Linked DNA regions of Xenopus tropicalis. The protein of the gene in region 1 purifies or fractionates together with the protein of each later gene. This does not show direct contact. Links are inferred from orthologs where the notes say so. Each region holds a gene or a part of one and is shown in the gene's direction. Other genes may lie near its edges.

Region 1 (6,403 bases):
GTATGGCACACACAGGCACTCAGGCAGGGTAGGGAAGGCAGAGTATGGCACACACATGCAGGGTAGGGAAGGCAGAGTATGGCACACACAGGCCAAGTATGGCACAAACCAGCCAATAATGGCACACACAGTCAAAGTATGGCACATGCAGGCAGGGTAGGGAAGGCAGAGTATGGCACACACAGGCAGGGTAGGGAAGGCAGAGTATGGCACACACAGGCAGGGTAGGGAAGGCAGAGTATGGCACACACAGGCAGGGTAGGGAAGGCAGAGTATAGCACACACAGGCACTCAGGCAGGGTAGGGAAGGCAGAGTATGGCACACACAGGCATGGTAGGGAAGGCAGAGTATGGTACACACAGGCAGGGTAGGGAAGGCAGAGTATGGCACACACAGACAGGGTAGGGCAGGCAGAGAATGGCAGGTTTTTGCTGTACTACAATCATTAATATGGGTATGGTCATGTGATAACATGGGTGTGGTTTCAAAAAGGGGAGTGGTCAAAATTGGCTTCCATTATCGGCCCTCCACCACGTAGGTCGGAAAAATTCCGGCCCTTGGTACCACAGAAGTTGGACAGCACTGATGTAGAGAGTAATAGTCTAAGACAGTTTGCAGTAGGTCATCATTTTTTATTTATCGTTTCTTATTTAAATTTTTTGTTTAGGAGCTCTCCAGTTTGGAGTTTCAGCAGATATCTCATTGCTAGGTTCCAAATTAACTTAGCAACCACAAAGTGGTTTGAATGAGAGACTTGTATATGAAAAGAAGAGGACCTGATTAGAAAGATTAGTAATAAAAAGTAACAATAAGAATAAAACTGTAACACCAGAATTATGTCTGTTGGCCCAGATTGAGAAGTTATTGCCACTCAATAAAACTAGATTGTTGTCTACGACCCTACTATATCATGCAAAGAAATCGGTAATACTGAACTGGAAGGGAAATAATGCCCATTCAGTTAAACTATGGTTTACCCTTATTAACTCAAGAGCTGGCAACATTAGATCTTAAACTCTATTTTTTCTCAAACACACACTTTGTGACAGGAAACTGCCTAGAGTTGGGGCCCTATATGATATACATTTTACATTAGTGTTAGTGAAGATCTGCTTCAATTTTGTATCCCTATATAAAATTGGAAATATTTATATAAACGATTTTTTCAAAAATTCCTCACTATATTCTGTTGAAAAATAAATAATATCTTTGCCTAAAAAGGATCCTCCTTTCACTTCAACTGATTTATTTTTAGGGACCAATAAACTTTCCCTCTGTGTAGTAAGAGTCAGCGACCCCCATTTGAAAGCTGCATGGATTCAACAACTATAACAAAAAAAAAAATGAAGACCAATTGAAGAGTTGCTAAACTTATAGGGGAACTACACCTGTAATTCTATTACACACAAAGTTAGTAAAAACTAGGGTTGCCACATTTTCTGGAAAAAAATACAGGCCTTCCTATATTTTTATCTTTTTTTCCTATTAATAACATTGGCATTAAGCATCATTTTTACCGACCACACCGATAAAATACTTGCCAGGTGGCAAGCCTAGAAGAAATAGTAAAGTCGGTAGATGCAATTTATATTATTCACGACTTTAGAATAGTATATGAAAAGAGCTATCATAATTCCAGAGCTGTCAACTCCCCCATACATTGTACAAGTGCAAGTACCTATTTTTTAGGCTTTGGCTGCACATTTGCACATGATATCACTTCTGGGGGCGCACACTCATGGATCATTCACTTACAGTCTTTGGAAAAAAATTTCAGGGGTGTGCTGGCCCATCCCCCGGACAGCATATTTTGAACGTTCTGTAATTATTATTTTTATGCATTATAGGACACATTAAGGCAGGGGTCGGGAACCTTTTTGGCTGAGAGAGCCATAAACACCACATATTTTAAAATGTAATTCTGTGAGAGCCATACAATATATTTGGCCGCGGATGCTGCGGGGCAAGTTAGGGTGGGTCCAAAGGATTCCGGATGCAGATGCGAAGCAGAGGAGGGTGTGGCCTGCACTCGGCGGAGAAAAGACGTGTTCTAAGGCTTAGAACACATCTTCTATCCGCCGAGCGCAGGGGCAAGGTAGGGTGGGTGCCAAGGATGCCGGATGCGATGTGGAGGAGGGCGTGGCCTGCGCTCGGCAGATAGAAGACATGTTCTAAGGCTTAGAACATGTCTTCTATCCGCCGAGCACAGGCCACGCCCCCCATTATTTTTTTTTATTAAGGATTTGACAGTGAGCCAGATGCAGCCAACAAAAGAGCCACATCTGGCTCCCGAGCCATAGGTTCCCTACCCCTGCATTAAGGTATAGGACTCCACACTGGCATGAAAAAAATAAAATATTCTATTTCAGTATATGTTTATGAAAAATAGCTCATTCCCAAGGTTTAGGGGGGGGTCCCTAAAATCAATTTACTGTGAGGTCCAGCAACTACTAGTTACACCACTTTTATAAAAATACTCATTTATACATTTCTATATTTTATATAATGTTTTTGCAACTTTCAGATTGGACGCACAAAACGTCCAGTAAGACAGCTTTTACCATAGAGTAGGAAAATCTGCGTCACGAAGGGCTATCCTCAGCTAAAAGGAAGAGGCCGAACGTACGTGTGTGACGTCATTCCTGCCGGTTGTTGTGTCTGCGCATGAGCAGTGGTGTCCCTGCGAGGTCCTGTCTTTTCTGTTACTGATTCGTGCTGGAAAAGCCACCTAGTCAAGAGGCACAATGAGCGGGACGCTGGCTAAGATCGCCGAGATAGAGTCCGAGGTGACTGAGACACTTGGAGGGTTAGCGCATATCGACTTGTTGGGGACATAGTTGAGAGCACGTGTGTAAGGATAATCACTGGGATGAATGGTTATGGCTGAAGCAGCTGTGTGGGACAGTCATGGTTTATGATAACATAAAGGCAATAATGACAATAACCTGTGCCAGGTATGACAGTGACACGCCTGCTTTCTGTCCTGCAGATGGCCCGGACACAGAAAAATAAAGCCACAGCTCATCACCTGGGTTTGCTGAAAGCTCGTCTTGCCAAACTAAGACGTGAGCTGATTACCCCAAAAGGAGGCGGCGGAGGAGGACCTGGAGAAGGTATATCAACTACTATCTGGTTGCCAGGGCCTAATTACCCTGGCAACCATGCTGTGTTTCGCAAATCGGGATTTAAGAAGAACAGAAAAGAAAGATAATCGAACATAAGAATCTCTTGGTTGAATCTGTTTTTTGATTGCCATGGCCAGTAACAATAACCAGAAAGTATTTTTTTGCAGGCTGAATCTGGCTAGATTAGAAATAATAAGTAAAACAAAAACATTTGTGTGTGTGTATATATATATATATATTTTATAATAAATTCCATTTGAATTCTTTTTGGAATAAGCCCCTTAATAAAATACCAAAAGGTAATTAAAGGCAAACTTCCACTTTTACTAAAATTTTAACACTGGGTAGTCACTGTTTCCATGTACATTATTAATAATTTTTTTATCTTTTTGGCTTATTGAAATAAACAAGATGCATAAATATGGAACCTGGTTTCCTTCCTCAGTGCCACGTTTATCACTATGATTAGCATTTCTGAATCCAGCACCTACCTTATTATGTTTTGGTGTAGGGCGTCAGTCATGAGAACCTAAGACATAGATCATTAAACATGTTTGTATAACCCCTGTAACAACCACCTTGATACCCAGTAGCCTCCTGATTTTGAGAAGCATGTTACTTCATCTGCACATTGGCAATGTTGGGGAGATGGCAATGTTGGGGAGATGTACATGAATGAGTACAACTTCTGTGTTTTTTAAGTAAAAAAAAAAAAAAAAAAGACTTTTTTCAAAGTTACATTTAAACATCTTAAAAGGCCTTTGGATATGGCAAAAAATCCTATTGGTTTGGGTTATTTGTAAATGTTGTCATTTACTAGACTTAAGCATGGTGCTTCAAATTACTGAAAAATCCTAACCTGTATAAGCTCAACTGTGGTACCTACTGTTGAATATACCTTTGCTAATCAAGCCTATGTTCTCCCTCACAGAGCTCACAGATAAATTGTCTGCTTTAATGGTTCTATTTTCAAGTAGTGGTACAATATCTGTGGGACTGTGATTGGCTTTAGTTCTTACTATTACAACTATATATTTTTTTTGCTCTCACATGTAATATAAGCTGTTAGAATGGCCAAGAGCACAAAGGATGATGATTTTTTCTGATATTTTTGATATGTGCTGACAGTTTACATGTATGATTTGTGTCTCTTACTTAGGTTTTGATGTTGCTAAGACAGGAGATGCTCGAATTGGGTTTGTTGGGTTCCCATCTGTTGGGAAATCTACACTACTCAGTAACTTGGCTGGAGTTTATTCTGAAGTGGCAGCCTATGAATTTACCACCTTAACAACAGTTCCTGGTGTTGTGCGATATAAAGGAGCAAAAATTCAGGTGTTTGTTTTACTTATATAAAATAATTAAAATAGCAGCTTATTTATCAGAGGTTAAGTTGAAATACAAAATCTTAAAAAAAAAAAAAAATAAAGGCTACTCCATTATCCAGAAACCTTGTTATACAGAAACTGCTGAATTATGGGAAGGCCATCTCTTTTAGACTTCATTATAAGCAAATAATTTAACATCCTCTGTAATAATAAAACTGTACCTTGTTCTTGATGCAAACTAAGCTGTATGAATCCATATTGGTGGTAAAAATGTTTAATTATATTAGTAGACTTAAATACAGAAATATCCCTTTTCCAGAAAATCCCAAGCATTCTAAATAATAGATTTCTATTGTCTCCTTTATTCTCTTTCAAAAAGTGCAGGCTGAAACCTGTCAAAATCCAGTCAAAACATTAGTGTGTATTTCAACTGAACTTTTTCTGCACTGAAGTATTCTCAACAGTTTCTTGATTTTTTTTTGAATTTTTTTTACTAAAATCAACAGAAACCTGTGTAAATATTGTGCAGTATGTTTTCAAGCATTTTCACTATGGTGAAACTTGAGTGTAATTTAGAAAATGTAACCAGCAAATGATAAATGTGAGCCTAGAAATGCTCTGTAGCATTTTTCAAGAGTGTTGTTTGCCAAGAAATCTCAAATTTGCTTTAAATGTTGCCCTTTAGACTCCAAAGCTACAGGAGACATTTGAGATAGTATATGACATTTTCATTTGTGAGATGGATATGCTCTGAATGCGGAGACATTAAGCTCAATGACCAAAGATGGTATATTTTTGTTTTTAGTTGCTAGATCTTCCAGGCATCATAGAAGGGGCAAAGGATGGAAAGGGCCGTGGTCGCCAGGTGATTGCAGGTAAGATCTTTAATTTTTGAGGATTGAGTCTCCTAGGACGATGGACACATTTTTACTGCTGATGTATTTTTGTTTTGTTTAGTGGCACGAACATGTAACTTGATCCTTATTGTTTTGGATGTACTGAAACCACTCGGACACAAGAAGATCATAGAGAATGAACTGGAGGGATTTGGAATCAGATTGAACAAGCAGCCTCCAAACATTGGATTTAAGAAGAAAGACAAGGGTGGCATAAACCTCACAGCAACAGTAAGCAAAGGACTTGGGTATAAAAGGGGAAATAACCAAGAGGCTCAGAAAGAAGAGAAACAAAATCAGATGTTTTTAAAGGGCATGTATGGTTTTCAATGCTAAAAATGCTAGCAACTGCTAGTAAACTGTGCAACTGCTAGTTAGAATATCCCATGATTAACTCAGGCTCATGTTATACTAGGCATGATTTAGTGGCATATATGCAGAGAGTTAGCCTCATGTTTTTGCAGCCCTGGAAAGCCTCTCAACAGCTAACTGTTCTAAAAACACCCAGTTTACTCCAGCAGAAAAGTTGTTTGTTCTTTAAGATCCTGTAGTGAAATTGTAATGAAAAAAATGAATGAATCAAGACCTTGTAAAAAGTGGCACAATCACTTATTTTTCAGTTATTCGTGTTTTAACCAAACTTATAACATATTTAAGGGGGCATAAATGGAAAACGTTGTCAAAGTTGTCCTCTTAATACTTTTGGCATTTAATTTTCTTGCGTGTTTTAAAGATAATTGTATCCTTACACCACTAAAAAGATTGCTTTGGCACAGCAGCTTTCTGTAAGGGCTGCTGAGTGAGTTACCTGGGGGTTATTTAAATATGCTAGTAGCAGACACAGTGAGATGACCCTCTCCGTATCACTCACTGCCTCCATCCGGAGGGATGTTACTCTCCTCATGCTCTGCCCAGCTTTCTAAGTCCCTTTTTTACTTCCAAGGTAAAGCAAGTCCAGGTAAAGCACATTTTCCTTTTGAAAGTGAATTTACAGCAGGACAGTGTTTACAGACAGCTAGGATACTGGCTAGGCAATTCCATGCTGCATTAAAT
Region 2 (5,698 bases), on another chromosome or scaffold:
CACCAGGATTAGCTGAAGTGATGAAGTGACCAGCCTGGCACACGATCTTTGCATTGTTCTCCTGCTGGGAATAAAATAGACCTTCCTGGCATAAATGGCGTTAATCCATTGAGATGTTAAAAATAGAGTTGGAGTCGGGGAGAGCGTTGCGCTGAATTGCTCTGCTTTACAGACCGCGGATGCTCTTCTCAGTGTAATCCAATCCAAAGTCATTTGAAATGCCGAGTATTGAAATGAGCTGCACTTAGAGAAACTTTACCTACTCTGTCAGCCAGCCACACAGTGCAGACACTATTCTGTTTGCGAGCACTATTTGTTTCCCTTTACTTAGATGTATATTGTGTCTGCTCCCAAAATTGCATTTTGAGTGACAGCTGCCATATTGTTAACCTTAGACTGTACAGTATGACGGTACAGCTTATTGTGTGCCCAGAAGGGGGAATACCTTTTTAAAGATGGCTGCCTGTTCAAGAAAACAGATAGAAAATGTGAAGTAAGTGTGACTGAGTAAATATTTGATTAGGTGAGCCAAAAGTGTGGCTATTTACTAAACAATAGGAGGACTATTGGGCAGTATGCAGTAATCTCCCCGTGTACCAGAGCCCTTAAGGGTGTGCTTACACCACTGCTGCATTGTTAGCCACTCAGTGTAAGGTTGGCCGGCGTGGAGGTCCAAACCCAGCCTGGACTTAAACTTGGTATCTATCATCTATTATCTGTCTATCTATCCACTGTATCTATCTGTCTGTCTCCGAGAGACATGGCTCTATCTGACTATCATCTATCTATCTCTTTATCATCTCTCTGTCTCTATGTGATATATTTATATTTCCCATGGTCAGAGAGACACAGCCCTATCTGTCTGTCTGTTACACTCTCTGTGGAATTTCCATATAATTAACTGTCTCATTAAACCTGTGTTTTGGGGCAAAACAGTTCATTGTATATGAAAGCAAATCCCTTCCTTCTGCTTCCAGATCCAAGTCCATAATGTCGACAGAGCTGGTGGAAGACGAGGCCCAGTTTTACTGCAAAGCCCAGAAATATTGGAAGAATGTTCCGGCTACGGTGGACGGCATGCTGGGGGGATACGGGCATATATCCAATATCGATCTCAACGGTTCCAAAAAGTTCCTCCAGAGGTTTCTGCGAGTAAGTATTCTTGGAAGCATCAGGGGTGGATATATTAAGGTTCTAGATGCTGATCCAGGCAGTCCATGTACTCTGTAACTATAATTTTATATGTACAGACATTGAGGGGTGAAACTTTCTTTACAAGGTATGAGCCAGGCAGGACCCTTACTTTGGGTTATTAAATTCAATTTATATTTAATTATTGTTTGTGGGGGCTGCTCTACTGCTTACTATAGTACCAGGCAATTGAAGTTAAGAGGGCAGGGAGAAAGGAAGGAGCAGCTATTGGCTGGCAGGGACACCTGTGCCACTTCTTTAATCCTATGTGAATAGCTGCGGGGTGTTTTTAGTAGCTCTCTGAAAGCTGATAGGTACAGGGAATAAGCGCTGCATTGGTATCTGAGGAGTTGCCTCTGTAATAGCGTGTACTCTGCTTTATCATCAAAAATATAAATGGAGCTATGGTAAAGGCTAAATTAACTAGGTATTGGGTGGCCCAATAGGCTTCTCTGTACTGTGCAGCTGTAGGGACCATTAGATAAATACCTGGTCACACTAATCCAGCTGTTTCCCAGGATGTAATGTTATGCTGTTGTGAATTAAAGCTTTAGCCGTCTGGCTGAGGATGCTGTGAGTTGTAGGTTTTAATACCAGATAGACAGTGCAAATTCTAGTCTTTATTTTGCCTTTATTGCTTGACTCATTAACAGCCAACTAGCAAGGACACTTTACCCGAGCCTCTAATTGCATATTTTTACATGCCACTTTTTATCACTGGGAAGTGCCTTCCCAATTAGCAGCCATCCTTGTGACACCCATTAAAGAAGCCCTTCCTGCCTATTCAGGCCCAGACTGGCGATCTGTGGTTTCTGACAAATGCCAGAGGGGCTGCTGACGCCATAGACAGTCACTATTTATTGGGCCCGTGGGGGGGGCTGTTTGGGCCTCTGTGTACTTGGAATGCCAGGATCTATTTTGAATGCCAGTCCAGGCCTGTACCTACTGATACGATGGAATCTGCAAGTTCTGCTTGTAAATTGCAGCATTAGTGTTGGTTTCCACTACCCACACATGATCCATAAATCCCCTCTGAGCTCAGGTTAGACCGGCATTCTCACCAACGTTATTTTCCCCAACCAGCAGGAAGGGTCAAACAAGACCGGGAACATGTACGCCCTAGACTGCGGCGCCGGCATCGGCCGGATCACCAAGCGACTGCTGCTGCCGCTCTTCAAAAAAGTAGACATGGTGGACGTGACGGACGAATTTTTGAGCAAAGCTAAGAGCTACCTTGGCGAAGAAGGCAGTAGAGTTGGGAACTATTTTTGCTGCGGCCTGCAGGAGTTTTCCCCAGAGCCAAACCGCTATGATGTCATTTGGATCCAGTGGGTAATAGGTAAGCGTGAGATGCACCTTTCCCAGCATGCACAGAGCCCAAATCCCAGTACGGTGCTTGGTGTTTGACCCCTTTTCTTTAACGGCAGGGCACCTGACAGATGAACACTTAGTGGACTTCCTAAAGAGGTGCAGTCTGGGCCTTCGGCCAAACGGCATCATTGTCATCAAGGACAACGTCACTCAGGATGTCTCCATCATGGATGACGTAGACAGCAGCATCTGCAGAGATATCGATTTAGTCAGGAAGCTCATCAAACAAGCCGGCCTCTCGCTCTTGGCCGTAGAAAGGCAGGAGAATTTTCCTGACGAAATCTACCACGTCTTTTCCTTTGCCATGAGATAAACCCTGCCCTGAGAACCATTTGTAGAGCGGTCCATCATTTTGGGAAGCTTTCTTGACTGTTCTGGTTTGCCAAAAGATGTGGCATGGCGAGACGGGGGGGGGCAGGGTTACAGCAGACGCACTGAAGCGACAGATGAAAATTTGGAACTGGGACAATTGGCAGGATATTTAATATAAAAAAGGCATGAAACTGAGATTTTCTAAAAACGGAGAAATAGTTCTGTGGAAGGGACCCTGAGCATGCGATGGATTTATGTAAAAGGAAGTGACCTACATGGGGGTAAATTGTGTGCTTTGTTCCCAAGAGGAGTACTGGGAAGTGGAAGCGCATGCCTTCATATCCGAAAATGAGTCCTGACACCTCCCAAAATGTTAAATATTTTAATAAAATTATTTTCCTTCATCCTGCCTTTTCCCTTTGGTGCTAGTTACTGGCGTCATGCAGCAGCAGCCAAACCCATCATCAATATTGGGATTACACGTGTGTGTCTGCAAACATTGCCGCTGTACAATCATCAATTAGAAGGATTTACCTATGTCTGATCAAAAGACGCTTCGAATTGTGGTTGTTTGGACCCAGGCACCCCTGGGTCCATAATGTGCGAGCATGGACCGCTATACCCTGCAGCGTGGGCACGTCGAACTCTGTGGTTGCTCAGAACGCCCAGCTCCACATCCAGTGACTTTCTGTATATAGGAGACCCTGTGGATTCTGGCAAATGCCAGAGGGGCTGCTGTAAGATGCCATAGACACTATTTATTGGACCTCTATGTAGCTGAAATGTATTACTGCAGAAGGGGTCACTGCAGCTCGTTCAGTAACTGGGAAGGCAGTTGACACAAAGGGGTAATTCACCTGTTAACTTTTAGTATGTTCTACAATAGTAAATTTGCATCAACTTTTCAATGTCTTCATTTTTTTTTAATAATTTGCTTTCCTTTTCCAACTATTGCTGTGAGATTACAATTTTATTGTTACATTTTATTACTTATCTTTCTATGGGCCCTCTGCTAATTTATATTCCTGTCTCATTAATTTGGACCCTAGCAACCATAGAGCCACTCAAATTTCAAACTGGAGAGCTGCTGAACAAAAAAGGATAAATAATAAAAAAAAACAAATAATAAAAAATGAAGACCATTTACAAATTGTTTTGGAATGTCACTCTCAGCATACTAAAAAGTTAACAACCCCTCTAAAAAGATGTTTTATTCAAACAAGTCCTATGCGTGTGTCTAACAACCATCTTATCTCTCTAACCCCCACTCCTGTGTTGGGTTTTATAAACCAGCCATATTTCATTGGTGTAGTTGTGATTCTTCTTTACCCAGTAGATGGTGCTCCTGGTTTCAGTAGGGTCAAAATAGGATTACAAATAAGTATACAAAGGAATAAGAAGACAGGGGGTGCGTTGTGAAAGATGTTTATTAGAATAAATCAGGTTTTCCTTTGCTTTTGGGGTGGTGCAGGCAAAGGAGAACTGAGTACACATTCTAACCCAACCTTGTGAATGTGCTAGATTCGCAAAGTCACAAATTAACCCAAGGCAGAACACTCTTTGGGAATGGGCATTTAGGGACCAGGGCATTTGTCTCTGCTTTGCAGAAACTCAGTTCTATGTAAAAGGAAAAATTGGTAAACAAAATTAAAGGGATTACATACGGTCTGGCTTTAGTAACATAGTAACATAGTAAGTTGGGTTGAAAAAAGACATACGTCCATCAAGTTCAACCATAATGCCTATACCTAACCTGCCTAACTACAAGTTGATCCAGAGGAAGGCAAAAAACCCCATCTGAAGCCTCTCTAATTTGCCTCAGAGGGGAAAAAATTCCTTCCTGACTCCAAGATGGCAATCGGACCAGTCCCTGTATCAACTTGTACTAAGAGCTATCTCCCATAACCGTGTATTCCCTCACTTGCTAAGAATCCATCCAGCCCCTTCTTAAAGCTATATAATGTATCAGCCAGTACGACTGATTCGGGGAGGGAATTCCACAACTTCACAGCTCTCACTGTAAAAAATCCTTTCCGAATATTTAAATGGAACCTCCCTTCTTCTAAACGGAGTGGGTGCCCTCGTGTCCGTTGGAAGGACCTACTGGTAAATAAAACATTAGAGAGGTTATTATATGATCCCCTTATATATTTATACATAGTTATCATGTCACCTCTTAAGCGCCTCTTCTCCAGTGTAAACAGACCCAACTTGGCCAGTCTTTCTTCATAACCGAGACTTTCCATACCCTTTACCAGCTTAGTTGCCCTTCTCTGGACCCTCTCTAGCTCAATAATGTCCCGTTTGAGCACTGGAGACCAAAACTGAACAGCATATTCTAGATGGGGCCTTACCAGTGCTCTGTAAAGGGGAAGAATAACCCCCTCCTCCCGTGAATCTATACCCCTTTTAATACAGCTCAGAACCTTGTTTGCCCTTGCAGCTGCTGCCTGGCATTGCTTGCTACAGCCAAGTTTATTATCTACAAGGACTCCAAGATCCTTCTCCATTATGGATTTGCCTAGTGCAGTCCCATTAAGGTTATACGGGGCTTGCATATTTTTACATCCCAGGTGCATGACCTTACATTTATCCACATTAAATCTCATCTGCCACTTAGCTGCCCAGATTGCCAGTTGGTCAAGATCCTGCTGCAGGGATGTCACATCCTGGATAGAATTGACTGGTCTGCAGAGTTTTGTGTCATCTGCAAACACTGATACATTACTCATAATACCCTCCCCTAAGTCATTTATGAACAAATTAAACAAAAGTGGACCCAGTACAGAACCCTGAGGGACCCCACTGAGAACCTTACTCCAAG

The links.
Region 2: the proteins of drg1 (region 1) and ntmt1 purify together in Homo sapiens (affinity purification with mass spectrometry; 3 studies listed by BioGRID and IntAct, counting the BioPlex papers as one, with this or other methods). This does not show direct contact. The link is inferred for Xenopus tropicalis from reciprocal best matches to the Homo sapiens genes DRG1 and NTMT1.

Annotation. Positions count from the first base shown.
Region 1 is NC_030677.2:152,070,314-152,076,716, forward strand, and holds the start of drg1 (developmentally-regulated GTP-binding protein 1), read left to right. Parts: upstream 1-2,680; 5' UTR 2,681-2,745; coding exon 2,746-2,787; exon of another isoform or gene 2,788-2,807; intron 2,808-2,990; coding exon 2,991-3,114; intron 3,115-4,285; coding exon 4,286-4,461; intron 4,462-5,259; coding exon 5,260-5,329; intron 5,330-5,411; coding exon 5,412-5,581; intron 5,582-6,403. UniProt on the Homo sapiens protein: Catalyzes the conversion of GTP to GDP through hydrolysis of the gamma-phosphate bond in GTP. Appears to have an intrinsic GTPase activity that is stimulated by ZC3H15/DFRP1 binding likely by increasing the affinity for the potassium ions.
Region 2 is NC_030684.2:22,258,693-22,264,390, forward strand, and holds the end of ntmt1 (N-terminal Xaa-Pro-Lys N-methyltransferase 1), read left to right. Parts: intron 1-977; 5' UTR 978-990; coding exon 991-1,152; intron 1,153-2,274; coding exon 2,275-2,530; intron 2,531-2,618; coding exon 2,619-2,875; 3' UTR 2,876-4,177; downstream 4,178-5,698. UniProt on the Homo sapiens protein: Distributive alpha-N-methyltransferase that methylates the N-terminus of target proteins containing the N-terminal motif [Ala/Gly/Pro/Ser]-Pro-Lys when the initiator Met is cleaved.